3 linked regions of the Nothobranchius furzeri genome follow. The protein of the gene in region 2 purifies or fractionates together with the protein of the main gene of each other region. This does not show direct contact. Links are inferred from orthologs where the notes say so. Each region holds a gene or a part of one and is shown on either strand. Other genes may lie near its edges. The genes, in order: scfd1, use1 and rint1.

Region 1 (3,648 bases), on a different chromosome or scaffold from region 2:
GGATACGCTTCAAGAACCCTGTGATGTGCAAGGTGTCTGGTGTATTCGGTGTTTAGGTTTCCTGTTATTATTGAACAGGTTCACTGAGAAAGCATTTTTACTCATTATTTTTGAAAATGATCAGTCACTCTGAGTTTAATGGGCAGGCTGAACGTGAAACTAGCCTTCTATCCCTTTTTCCATCATTAGCTTCTGACAGATGGACAGAAAAACGCTCTGTTCAGAAAAACTTGACAGATCTACGTCACACTGTCAATTAACATTCACAAATGGGCCATTCCCATCTGTACCGGGTCGGCCCGGGCCGGGTAGCGTAGGTTGTTTACATATCTGGGTGGCCTGGTATTTTTCCGGGCCAACCAAGACTCATTCTCAGCCCTCTTCTCGAGGGAGTCTGCTTCAGGCCGACCAGGGCCGACACACCCACTGCTGACAGCAAATTCACACCTTCCATTAGAGCAAGCCTCTGATTGGTGGGTACAATCAGCCCATTCACACCTTCCATTAGAGCAAGCCTCTGATTGGTGGGTACAATCAGCCCATTCACACCTTCCATTAGAGCAAGCCTCTGATTGGTGGGTACAATCAGCCCATTCACACCTTCCATTAGAGCAAGCCTCTGATTGGTGGGTAGAATCAGCCCACATGGGCTTAAGACAAGGATGTGTGGAATCAACCGGGCCAGGCTGGGGCCGACTGGGGCTACCCGGCCCGGGCCGACCCGGTACAGATGGGAATGGCCCATTACTTACCCATCTTGACTCACGACGGGAAAGGCTGTTGTTGGTTTAGCTTCCAGGAAACCGTAAAGAAGCTCCACAGCACAGCAGAACAGCTCCAGGCTTGTGTCATTTGTAAATATATTAAAACAATTCAATGTTGCAGAGTAAACAAAGTCAGTGGTAGAGCTGTGTTGCTGTTAATGCTAGCCAAATATGAGGACGTAAGACTGCCGTCTTCTGCCATTTTCTTCTTCGGACGGACTTCCACGTTCTCAAACATGAGCCTCTGAGCTGTTTTCCCCAGAGAACTACTTACAAAACATTCATACCTGCTAGAGACCACTGCAAATGTGTTACAAGTATGTGTAAAGTTGATCTTTAATGTTACAGAGAAAATAATTTCACAACAAAAATAACAATCCCAGCTTCTAACATGAACATGAGCAGAAGCCTGTCTGCTGTCTCTGAACAGCTTGAGTTTAGGATGGAGGCTGTTGGATTAGCTCTTCCAGTGTTTCTCACTCACCGAACCTTTAGTTGTTTTTAGACTGAAGTGTAATAATTGTTTTGCGGATGTGTGTTTCAGTCTGACTTGGAGCAGTATAAGAAGGCGTTGGTGGATGCAGGCTGTGACCTCTCATCTCTCAACTACATTAAACAGTGGAAGTAAGTTTTCAGATGATCAAATCATCGCTTCACCAGATTCTCTGGGGTTACAAGTGGCATGTGGCTTCATTAGCACTCAAACAGTGATGTAGTATTGTTTAATAATGGAGACACCGCAGACTTCTCCGCGCTCTTTTGTCCTCTCCTACATGCTCGGAGATGAGCTCATGACATCACAGACTGCCCATGTGCTCAGTCACGTCAACATTCCTAAGGCAGTGTGGAACGAATACGGCCAGGCTGGGGCAGACACAGCAGAGCAGAGTGGAGCCGATGCTAGTGTGTAATTGGCACGTCTCTGCTTCAGCACACCTGATTTGCATGGTCCCCTCAGGAGGACATCAAGTGCTGCAGATGCCTGTTAATCACTCATTCATTTAAGCCAGGTGATTGGGAGCAGGGGAACACTGGTGGTTGAAAGGGCAACATGGCATCTATGGAACATCAGAACATGGACATAAAACATCTTTGTAACAAAGTTGAACGCCAGAATGTGACATCCTTATCCACCTTTTCCCTAGCCTGCACAAATCTTTGCAGGAAAAATGCAACCTGCTTGCGGTCCAGTGTTTGTTTACATTGCAACCATAGATGGATGATGTGTTCCATTTGCACTAATCCACTTTTCATGGTCTTTTTAAATACATGAATTATGTGCTGTCACAGCTCATTTGGGACACTGTTACAATCCCTCTGCCTACTGCAGTAGAGGAGTGGAGGATGATATGAAAATCTGGCTAAAGCTAATCTCCAGTAGCATTATTAGCTACTTGTCGTGTCCAACGGCGAGGCAACGAACAATCTACAAATCTCCAAGCTTATCAGTACCTACGTAGTCATTTGTTTGGTCGTGTTTTGTTGAAAGAGGTGGGACAGCCTTAAATCCCTCATCACCGAGCTAGGTTTTAGTTTCTACAGCAGGTAAAATACAAACAGCAGGTTGTTCATGTATTACGATTGGCTAAGTACGGTGTTAAAATTTTTTTGTCTGCTTGTTAAAAGCTTAATTCAGCTAAATTCTTTTTAGGGTCTCAAATCGGTGTCTACACGGTATTATTTTTATTTCAGGTTGAGAATGCAGTCAGACAGAAAGGCCAGGTCCTCACAGCTAAAGGGGAATGCAGGCACACTCTCTCTGAGGATAATGTTCCAGACAACACTCTTGTAGCCACAAATTTAACTTTCTCTGATAGTTAGTGCCACTGCGAACAGCACTTCCTTTTACAGGGGCAAATCGCATCTGAAATCCTTTTGAAATGTTCAGATAAACTGCTGCGAGAAACAAAACCTCACTATGCAAGTCAGTGGCTATGCGCTACTTCCAGTATCTCACCGGATGTTGCTCGCATCATCGTTTTTACATAAGCAGGAAAAGGCTGGATATTATTTATAATTATAACAAATCCTGTTTAATAAACAGCTTTTTTAATAAGTATCCCTGCTTTTCTCTCCTACTGGTTGAAAATGGAATTACAACTGTCATAAACCACCTTTCCGCAGCCTCCTGTAGCTAACGCTAACAACGAGCTAACTGATACTAAGCTAGCCACAAAGTAAAAAGATCCACACTGGTGGACAAAAAAATATCATTTTTTACAGGTTCAGTAGCAACAAAGCCAGTTCACCTGTGATTTTGTAGCCTCCTTTAGCTCCCTCAAACGGGTGTAGGCTGCGGCGAGGTTCACTCTGGTTTTAGCTCTTTTTGTCACCACCAGAGACATTACTCTTACTTTTATTTCCAGGCTCAGCCATGATGCCAACACATAAAGCCAAATTCTTATTTTTCTTGTAGTTTTTATTTACGGCTGATAACAGTTGTATGTGCTACAGTAAACAACTGTTGCCGTAAAGCAGGATGAGACCTCCCTCAAGTGCACCCACCCGTGCTCCTAAATTGTAAAGTGTGGTTTCTGTTCAGCAGCGAACTAAAGAGTGAAGTTAGTAAAGTCTCTACCTCAAGAACCTCTGAAATCCGTTTGAAAGCAATAGCTCTTTGGTGTTGCTTTAACAAGCTCTCTGCATAATAAAAGGAGACAAATTACTGGAGCAGTGAAGCCGATTGTTTTAACTATCTTCTTTTATTCTAGGGCTTTTACCAAAATGGCCACCGCCCCAGCTAACTACGGGAACAGTGGAGTCAAACCGATGGGGTAAGGCAGTAACAATTTAACCCTCCCACACTCCTAATGGTTGTGACCCCGCAAGGAAAGTTGACCATTGAGCAGGGTTGATGGTTTATCCCTCGAGGTCCATGTGGCAG
Region 2 (4,124 bases):
CCAACTCAAATCAGGTGTGTTGGAACAGAGAAACGTCTAGAATATGCAGGATGGTGGCCCTCGGGGACCAAAGTTAAACACTACTTATTAAAAAAATTTAAACAAAATAATTTACTGTAGTTATAAATATACAAAGCATCCTGTTTAAAAGGTAATAAACACAATAACTGAAAAATGTTTACAGATATTGAAAGCTAAGATTGTCCTGAAAAAATATGACAATTTTATGCACATAGGAACTTTTGACATAATTACTGAAAGAATATATATAAAAATGACCAGGCAGACTTTAACAGGGACAGTGGTAGGAGACCATCTACCGAGGTTTTATTATTTTATTCGTCGTCGTCTTCCTCCGCTTATCCGGGTCTGGGTCGCGGGGGCAGCATCCCAACTAGGGAGCTCCAGACTGTCCTCTCCCCGGCCACCTCCACCAGCTCCTCCGGCAGGACCCCAAGGCATTCCCGGACCAGATTGGAGATGTAATCTCTCCAACGTGTCCTGGGTCGACCCGGGGGCATCCTGCCGGCAGGATATGCCCGAAACACCTCCCCAGGCAGGTGTCCAGGAGGCATCCTGACCAGATGCCCAAACCACCTCAACTGACTCCTTTCGATCCGGAGGAGCAGCGGTTCTACTCCGAGTTCCTCCCGCATGTCCGAGCTCCTCACCCTATCTCTAAGGCTGAGCCCGGCCACCCTACGGAGGAAACTCATTTCGGCCGCTTGTATTCGTGATCTCGTTCTTTCGGTCGTTACCCAAAGTTCATGACCATAGGTGAGGATTGGGACGTAGATCGACCGGTAAATCGAGAGCCTGGCTTTCTGGCTCAGCTCCCTCTTCACCACGACAGATCGGCTCAGCGTCCGCATCACTGCAGATGCCGAACCAATCCGCCTGTTGATCTCCCGATCCCTCCTACCCTCACTCGTGAACAAGACCCCGAGATACTTAAACTCCTCCACTTGAGGTAGGACCTCTCTCCCGACCCGGAGTTGGCAAGCCACCTTTTCTGGTCTAGAACTATGGTCTCAGATTTGGAGGCGCTGATCTTCATCCCAGCCACTTCACACTCGGCCGCGAACCTACCCAGCAAGAGCTGAAGGTCAGAGCTGGATGAAGCTAGGTGGACCACATCATCCGCAAAAGCAGAGACGAGATTCTCCTGCCACCAAACAACAAGGCCCACTCGGAGTCTATGTCCCCCACTGCTCTTGGGACGTGATCAAAGCTCTGCCGGAGGTGGGAGTTGAAGACCGTCTTGACAGGTTCTTCTGCCAGGCGTTCCCAGCAGACCATCACTATGCGTTTGGGTCTGCCAGGTCTACGCGGCATCTTCCCCTGCCATCTGATCCAACTCACCACCAGGTGGTGGTCATTTGACAGCTCCGCTCCTCTCTTCACTCGGGTGTCCAAAACATACGGCCGCAGGTCAGATGATACGACTACAAAATCTATCATCGACCTGTGACCTAGGCTGCCCTGGTACCAAGTGTACCGGTGGGCATCCTTATGTTTGAACATGGTGTTCGTTATGGCCAAACTGCGGCTTGCACAGAAGTTCAATAACAAAACACCACTCGAGTTCAGATCAGGCGGGCCGTTCCTCCCAATCACACCCCTCCAGGTCAAGCTGTCATTGCCCACGTGAGCATTGAAGTCCCCCAGCAGGACAATGGAGTCCCCTGATGGAGCACTATCTAGCACTCATCCCAGGGACTCCATAAAGGGTGGGTAATCTGAACTGATATTTGGCGCATAAGCACAAACAGTCAGGACGAGTTCCCCGACCCGAAGGCGCAAGGACGATACCCTCTGGTCCCCCGGGGTAAACCCCAACACACAGGCAGAGAGTCTTGGGGCTAACAAAAAGCCAACCCCAGCCCTCCGCCTCTCACCCGGAGCAACTCCAGCAAAGGAGAGTGTCCAACCCCTCTCAAGGACTTGGGTTCCAGAGCCAATGCTATGTGTCGAGGTGAGTCCGACTATATCTAGCCGGTACCGCTCAACCTCTGCCACAAGCTCCGGCTCCTTCCCCGCCAGCGAGGTGACGTTCCATGTCCCAAAAAACAATTTTGTTGTCAGGGGATCGGACCGCCAAGGCTCCCGCCTCGGCCTGCCACCCGATCCACACTGCACCGGACCCTTCATGTTCCTCCTGCGAGTGGTGGGTCCACAGTTGGATGAGCCCATGTATCGGGTTCGGGCTGGGCCCGGCCACCAGGCGCTCGCTCACGGGCCCCAACCCCAGGCCTGGCTCCAGGGTGGGACCCCAGTAACCCTCCGGGCCGGGTACTCCGACCCCTTGATAGTTCATCCATGAAAGATCCTGTGAACCGTTCTTTGTCTCACCCTTCACCTAAGACCAATTTGTCATGGGAGACCCTACCAGGGGCACAAAGTGCCCCAGACAACATAGCTCCTAGGATCATTAGGGCACTCAAACTTCTCCACCACGATAAGGTGACGGTTCAAGGAGGAGTTATTATTTTATTACAACAGAAATAAATTGTTTGATGGTTTTAGTTTTAGTATTTTGACATGAGGAAGTCAAATAAACAAGGAACATATTCATAGTTAATTTCTTGGCTCACTGTTCGATATTATATTTTTTTTTTCTGCTGATTAGAAATAATAAGAAATCGCGAGTCTGCTGTCTGACTACGTGGCTAACAGCTGCACCGCTAACAACAACAGAGCAGATAAAGGTCACACAGACATGTTTCATGTTAAAACAGTTCACTGGAGGCATTCCTACCTTCTCTAACCTCCATTCAGTCTCCCCACGCTTCTCCGAAGCCATGGATTCACATCGAGACAGCAATCTAATAAAATTTATCTCCAACCTAGAAGCCATGTTCACAGTGTCGCGGCAGTTTGACGTCAAACGACTGAAGCGAGGAGGCGGTGCCTCAACCTTCCACGCTGCAATATAAATATGTGAGACACGTCAATAATTATTATAATTTATAAATATAATTTGCAAAAGAAATCAGTATTAAATATTAGAAAAATTTGAGGAATTTTTAAAGAGCAAGTCACACCAAAATCAGCTTGTTTTTCTTACAACCTGTGTGTGTGTGTGTGTGTGTGTGTGTGTGTGTGTGTGTGTGTGTGTGTGTGTGTGTGTGTGTGTGTGTGTGTGTGTGGTCATTATGTTAGCATTTTGGTGCGTTTTTTAAGACGTTTCGTGTAATGCCACTAGACCGCCACAAGATTACCAGATTGTCCAGAAGAAGTATTTTTTAAATAAAAATTTTAACAAAACTTTTCTTTTTGAAAATAAGCTTTTAAACTGTGTTAGTTAACATCTGTGCACAACCCGAGGTAGATATATCTATCTAATTTTGAATGGCTGAAGGGACAGTGAATTATTGTTCGAGAGAGAGAGAGAGAGAGAGAGAGAGAGAGAGAGAGAGAGAGAGAGAGAGAGAGAGAGAGAGAGAGAGAGAGAGAGAGAGGTGTGTCCTCTTTTATCCCCATAGTAGCCACTGATGCAGAGGTATTCTTTGCAGCATGAGATGATGCATTGTCATGCATGAAGATGATTTTATCACAGCATGGTTTCATTTTTTTGTACCAGGGAAGAACGTGGTCAGTCAGAAACTCCACATACATGCAGAGGTCATCTTTACGCCTTTGGAGACCCTAAGGGGCCGAACAGCTCTCTTCCCATGATTCCAGCCCAAAACATGACTCCACCTCCTCCTTGCTGATGTCACAGCCTTGTTGGAAAACAGTGGCCGTTCAACAACCACCCACTACTCCATCCATTTGGGTCATCAAGGTTTGTACGACACTCATCAGTCACCATGACTGTTTGAAAATGTATTTCTCTGCCCAGTGCAGCCGTGTCTGCTTGTGAACATTAGTCAGCAGTGGTCGAAGAGGTTTATGCACAGATCTCAAGACTCTGGAGGACTCCAGATGCACCAGCAGCTTCAAATATCTTTTTGCTGCTGTAATGACCTTTTAGCAGCTGCTCTCTTGATCTGATACATGGATTTGACAGAAATCTTCCTCAATGTCCCTTTATCTGCACAAACTCATCTGTACTCTAAATCGGCCACAAATCTTTTCATAGTGCAATGATCTCACTTAAGTTTTCAGGAAATATCTGTTTT
Region 3 (4,403 bases), on a different chromosome or scaffold from region 2:
ATTTTCACTTGGGTATCAGGTGACAGCTTGGTTGATGGGAGTGTTATTGTTGAGGAGATCGGATAAAAATGACGAGGACAGATGATTTAAACTTTAAAAGTGAGCAATGAGACCATAAAATGAAGCCATGTGTTCATGTTTTAACACCTATTGAAAGACAAGGTACTGGTCAAGGTGTTGATTCTTATCATAGCTGCTTCACATTCGACTGCAAACTACTCCAGCAAAAGCTCAAGATCACGACCCGATGAAGCCAACAGGACTACATCGTGCAAAAATCAGTGACCCTGATCCTTGGGCCACCAAAATGGATTCCCTCAACATCTTGGCTGTGTCTAGAAATCCTGTCCACAAAAGTTATGAACAGAATTGGTGACAAAGGGCAGCCTTGGTGGAGTCCAACTATCACCCAGAACGCTGTTACTGCCAGCAATGCAGACCAAGCTCTGGCACCGGTCATACAGGGACCGTACGGCCCGTATCAAGGGGGCTGGTACCTCATATTCTCATGGTAACCCCCACGGGACTCCCTGGAGGACACGGTTGAACACCTTCTCCAAGTCTACAAAACATATTGGGCTGGTCCAGTGTTCAACAGCCAGGACCAAAACCATATTGTTCCTTCTGAAACCAAAGTTCAACTATCTGACGGACCCTCCTCTCCAGAACCCCTGAATAGACTTTACCAGGGAGGCCCAGTAGTGTGATCCCCCTTTAGTTGGAACACACCCTGTGCTCCCTCTTTTTAAATAGAAAGAACCACCGACCTGGTCTGCCAATCCACGAGACTGCCCCCGATGTCCATGCTGCATGGTGGCACAGTTGTTAGCACTGTTGCCTCGCAGCATGAAGGTTGCAGGTTCGAAACTCAGCTGTGGCCTTTCTGCGTGGAGTTGCGTCTTCTCCCCATGCATGCGTGGGTTTCCTCCAGGTACTCCGGTTTCCTCAACAGATCCCAACATGCCCTATAGGTTATAAATTGTAAGTCGCTTTGGATAAAAGCGTCTCTTAAATGAATAAACATAAACATGTAATATCAAAGTCCCATTAGTTGTCACACTGGTGTGTGAAATTTGTTCTCTGCATTTGACACCCATCCCTGGGGGAGTGGTGAGCTGCAGACAAAGCTGTGCTCGGGAATCGTTTGGTGGTTTATCGCAGAGCCACTTCAACGCAACCCTATATCCAGGAACTCTGGGTGAATCTCATTCTTATCCATCGTGAGACATTGCCATTGAGCAGCTTTTGAATCGCCTTGGTGACCTCAGCGTCATTAATTTGAATTTTTATTATTTATGTACCTTTTCATTGTTGGTATTACTGTTTATGTTGTGTTGTCTGTTGTTTACTGCATTATAAGCAAATACTTTAATTCTGTAATGTTTTCACTGTAAATAAAGTTTGGTTAAAGAACCCGAAACATCTAGTGTTTTTAGACAAGAGGATAGGGGTCTGGTGTTGTTTTGGTACCTTCCCTTTCCCGACAGCAGGGGGCAGTGGTGAGTTGTTCCTCACTGTGCAGCGTGGCGGTGTTGTCAAAAATAAAGATGGCGACGGTACCAGCTGTAGAGTCTTTTCGGCATTCTGTCCGTGACATGGATCAGGATCCGGACTGTTTCGGTGATGGTTCTGGGACCCAGCTGGACTACGGACTGGGTTTTTTGGAGCAAGAGTTTGGCAGCGAACTGATGTCTTTAGAAGCCGTTAGTGAGCTGCTGGAGAAAATGAAAACAGAGACGGCGTTGGTGGAGGAGCAGGTACCGAACCTGAACTTTATTTACTACACGGTGTTTTTAAAGTTAACGAATTAGTGTGTAACAGCGAGCTGTTGTGGTTAAAGTCAGCTGTTTGGTGGCATTCTGGTGGATTAGGTGTGAACCTAAAGCACATTAAATAAGATTTAAACAAATGTTTTCACAATGAAGGAGATGAACTAAATAAAAACTGCTTCAGTGGATAAGACCTCACAGTTCATCATCTATATTTCACTTGATAGAGTTTTAAACATTAAAAGAACTGGAACTCTTGTGCATACATATACAATTTTAATCAAAGACCACTGTGCTGACAGGTCAGGGTTCATAGCCACTAACTCACGGGTTATTAATTTATTCTGCAACCTGAACTCAACCACATTAAATAAAAATGTGTTTTTTTGCAATCTGAAAGATTAGAACAATGTTTTGTCCTTTAGGTTCTGGCTGAATGGGATTGCATTGTTTTTGCTTTCCAGGTTCTGAGTGTGTGCAGTTCTGTTCCTCCCAAAATCTCAGCATCCCTGTCAGCTGCAGAGGAGGTCCGGTGTTCCTTGGAGGACGTGCTGCAGAGAGAACAATCTGTCTCCAGTCAGCTGCAGCAGGTAGAAACTGCAGAAGCTCAACAAAAGAGCAGATTTCAATCTGAAGTAGCAGAACGAACATCAGAGTTGTATTTGATCTATCCCATACAAGATCTGAAACACGATCTGAGCTGAATCATCTATGCTTGTTTAAGGTGTTCTGTGACAATCCCCACTGTAATCCAGGGATGTTTTACTGATGCTGTTAAATATTCTGATCTTCCAGCACCTGCAGGGCACCCGGCAGTTGATGGATGACCTAGGGCAGACATTTAACCATGTAGACTCTATGGAGAAAAGCATGAAGTATCTAAAGTGCCTTCACTACATAGGAGAGCTCAGGTAGGGTGATTAGAGGCTTGGAGACATGTTGGTTGAGGTTACAGTGATGCATCACTGAGGTTTAAAACTGCTCCTCATTTCTGCTGCATAATGTTAATATTATGTGTCTACAGTGCTTCAGTCCAGCAGTTTCTGATGACCAACGGTGTCTGGGAAGCTATAAAAGCTGTAGAGAGCATGGCGGCTCTGGACTCTGGCCTCAACCAGTCAGGATGTTCCCACCTTGTGGAGTTTCTCAGGAAAACGCTTTGTTTCTGGCACAATATCATCAAAGAACAGCTGTCCAGGTATGGCTCCATCAAATCCCAACCAAGACTGGGATGTTTTTGTCTTCTTTCATCTACTGTAAAAGCTGATTCTTTCTTTTTAAACCTCTTTAGTGATTTTGAAAACGCATTGACTCAACTACACTGGCCAATTGTCTCAACAACATCTCAGTCTGCGACACCTCCTGCAGGTCAGGAGGTCAGCAGCCATGTGGAGGAGCTGGTGACTCAGCTGCTGGCCCTGCAGACCTCGTATCCTTCTGGACACAGATCCAATAGGATCTTGGGGACTGTCTCCACACATTCATGTGCTCAGTTTTTTTAACCATGTAAATGTGTTTAGTTTCATCAGGTGAGATGTTTAGCATTATGTCAGGACACCATAATGATCTGACATTTGTCTTTGGTGGTGAGAGAGCAAGGCTTCTAACTCTACACAACCTTTAATCTGTAGTTTTGCATTTGCTCATGAGTTTTTATTTAGTTAGTATCTCACTGGGCTCTGTTAGCGAGACACTGGCATCACCATTCAGAGTGAGTTTTCAGAAGGTTATCCAAACATTCAAGTGTTCTTGGTTCCTTCTTGTGATTCTCAGGGCCTGACTCTGTGCCTAGAAATTTTTAAATGTTCAAAGAATTCTCAAGACAAATTCAGCCAACACAGCCGTTGTAATTAAGTACATAGCACTCATCTCAGACAGAAAATCACAACGTGCTTCACATGGATCAAAACAAATCATAAAGTCATAAAATCATAATGATCTTAAAACAGAAATGGATTAAAATCTGAAAAATAAAGTCTAAAATAATAAAACACCATAAAACAAATGAAAAATTATTACAAATTTGAGTTAAAAATAAGAAAATAAAAGATTTAGGTAAAAGCAGCTTTAAATAAAAGGGTCTTCAGCTGATTTTTAAAAGTGTCCAGACTGTCAATGCTGTGTAAGGATAAAGGAAGATCATTCCAGAGTCGGGGTGCAACAGTCTGGAACTTCTAGAAGGTTCTGGTGTGTGGACCTGAGGGCTCGGGTTTGAGCATAAGGCTTTAACAGTTCAGTAATATAGGGAGGAGCTTGACCATGTAGAGCATTGAAAGTTATAGTCAGTATACTAAAATGAACTCTAAAGTTAACGGGTAACCAGTGGAGAGACATTAGGGTTGTGAGCTCTTGTGTTTGCTCCAGTTAGAAGCCTCACTGCAGAGTTCTGGCCCAACTGAAGGCGGTCAAGGTTTTTCTTGTTAAAACATGTGAAAAGTGTGTTAAAGTAATCTAGTCGGGAGGAGATAAAGGCATGGATGACCATTACAAGTTCATGTTTTGACACCAACCTTCGCAGTTTGGAGATATTTCTTAAATGATAAAAACAGTTTCGAACCATTGTTTCTGAGTGGCCTTCAAGAGACATTGATTGGTCCAAAACAACACCCAAATTCCTTAAGTTTGTCATACCAG

The links.
Region 1: the proteins of use1 (region 2) and scfd1 purify together in Homo sapiens (affinity purification with mass spectrometry; 3 studies listed by BioGRID and IntAct, counting the BioPlex papers as one, with this or other methods). This does not show direct contact. The link is inferred for Nothobranchius furzeri from reciprocal best matches to the Homo sapiens genes USE1 and SCFD1.
Region 3: the proteins of use1 (region 2) and rint1 purify together in Homo sapiens (co-immunoprecipitation; 3 studies listed by BioGRID and IntAct, counting the BioPlex papers as one, with this or other methods). This does not show direct contact. The link is inferred for Nothobranchius furzeri from reciprocal best matches to the Homo sapiens genes USE1 and RINT1.

What each region holds. Positions count from the first base shown.
Region 1 is NC_091758.1:18,055,894-18,059,541, reverse strand, and holds part of scfd1 (sec1 family domain-containing protein 1), read left to right. Parts: intron 1-1,308; coding exon 1,309-1,388; intron 1,389-3,475; coding exon 3,476-3,538; intron 3,539-3,648. UniProt on the Homo sapiens protein: Plays a role in SNARE-pin assembly and Golgi-to-ER retrograde transport via its interaction with COG4. Involved in vesicular transport between the endoplasmic reticulum and the Golgi.
Region 2 is NC_091748.1:57,902,461-57,906,584, reverse strand, and holds the start of use1 (vesicle transport protein USE1), read right to left. Parts: upstream 2,914-4,124; 5' UTR 2,858-2,913; coding exon 2,759-2,857; intron 1-2,758.
Region 3 is NC_091741.1:64,277,922-64,282,324, reverse strand, and holds the start of rint1 (RAD50-interacting protein 1), read left to right. Parts: upstream 1-1,512; 5' UTR 1,513-1,547; coding exon 1,548-1,757; intron 1,758-2,233; coding exon 2,234-2,359; intron 2,360-2,564; coding exon 2,565-2,680; intron 2,681-2,793; coding exon 2,794-2,967; intron 2,968-3,060; coding exon 3,061-3,198; intron 3,199-4,403. UniProt on the Homo sapiens protein: Involved in regulation of membrane traffic between the Golgi and the endoplasmic reticulum (ER); the function is proposed to depend on its association in the NRZ complex which is believed to play a role in SNARE assembly at the ER.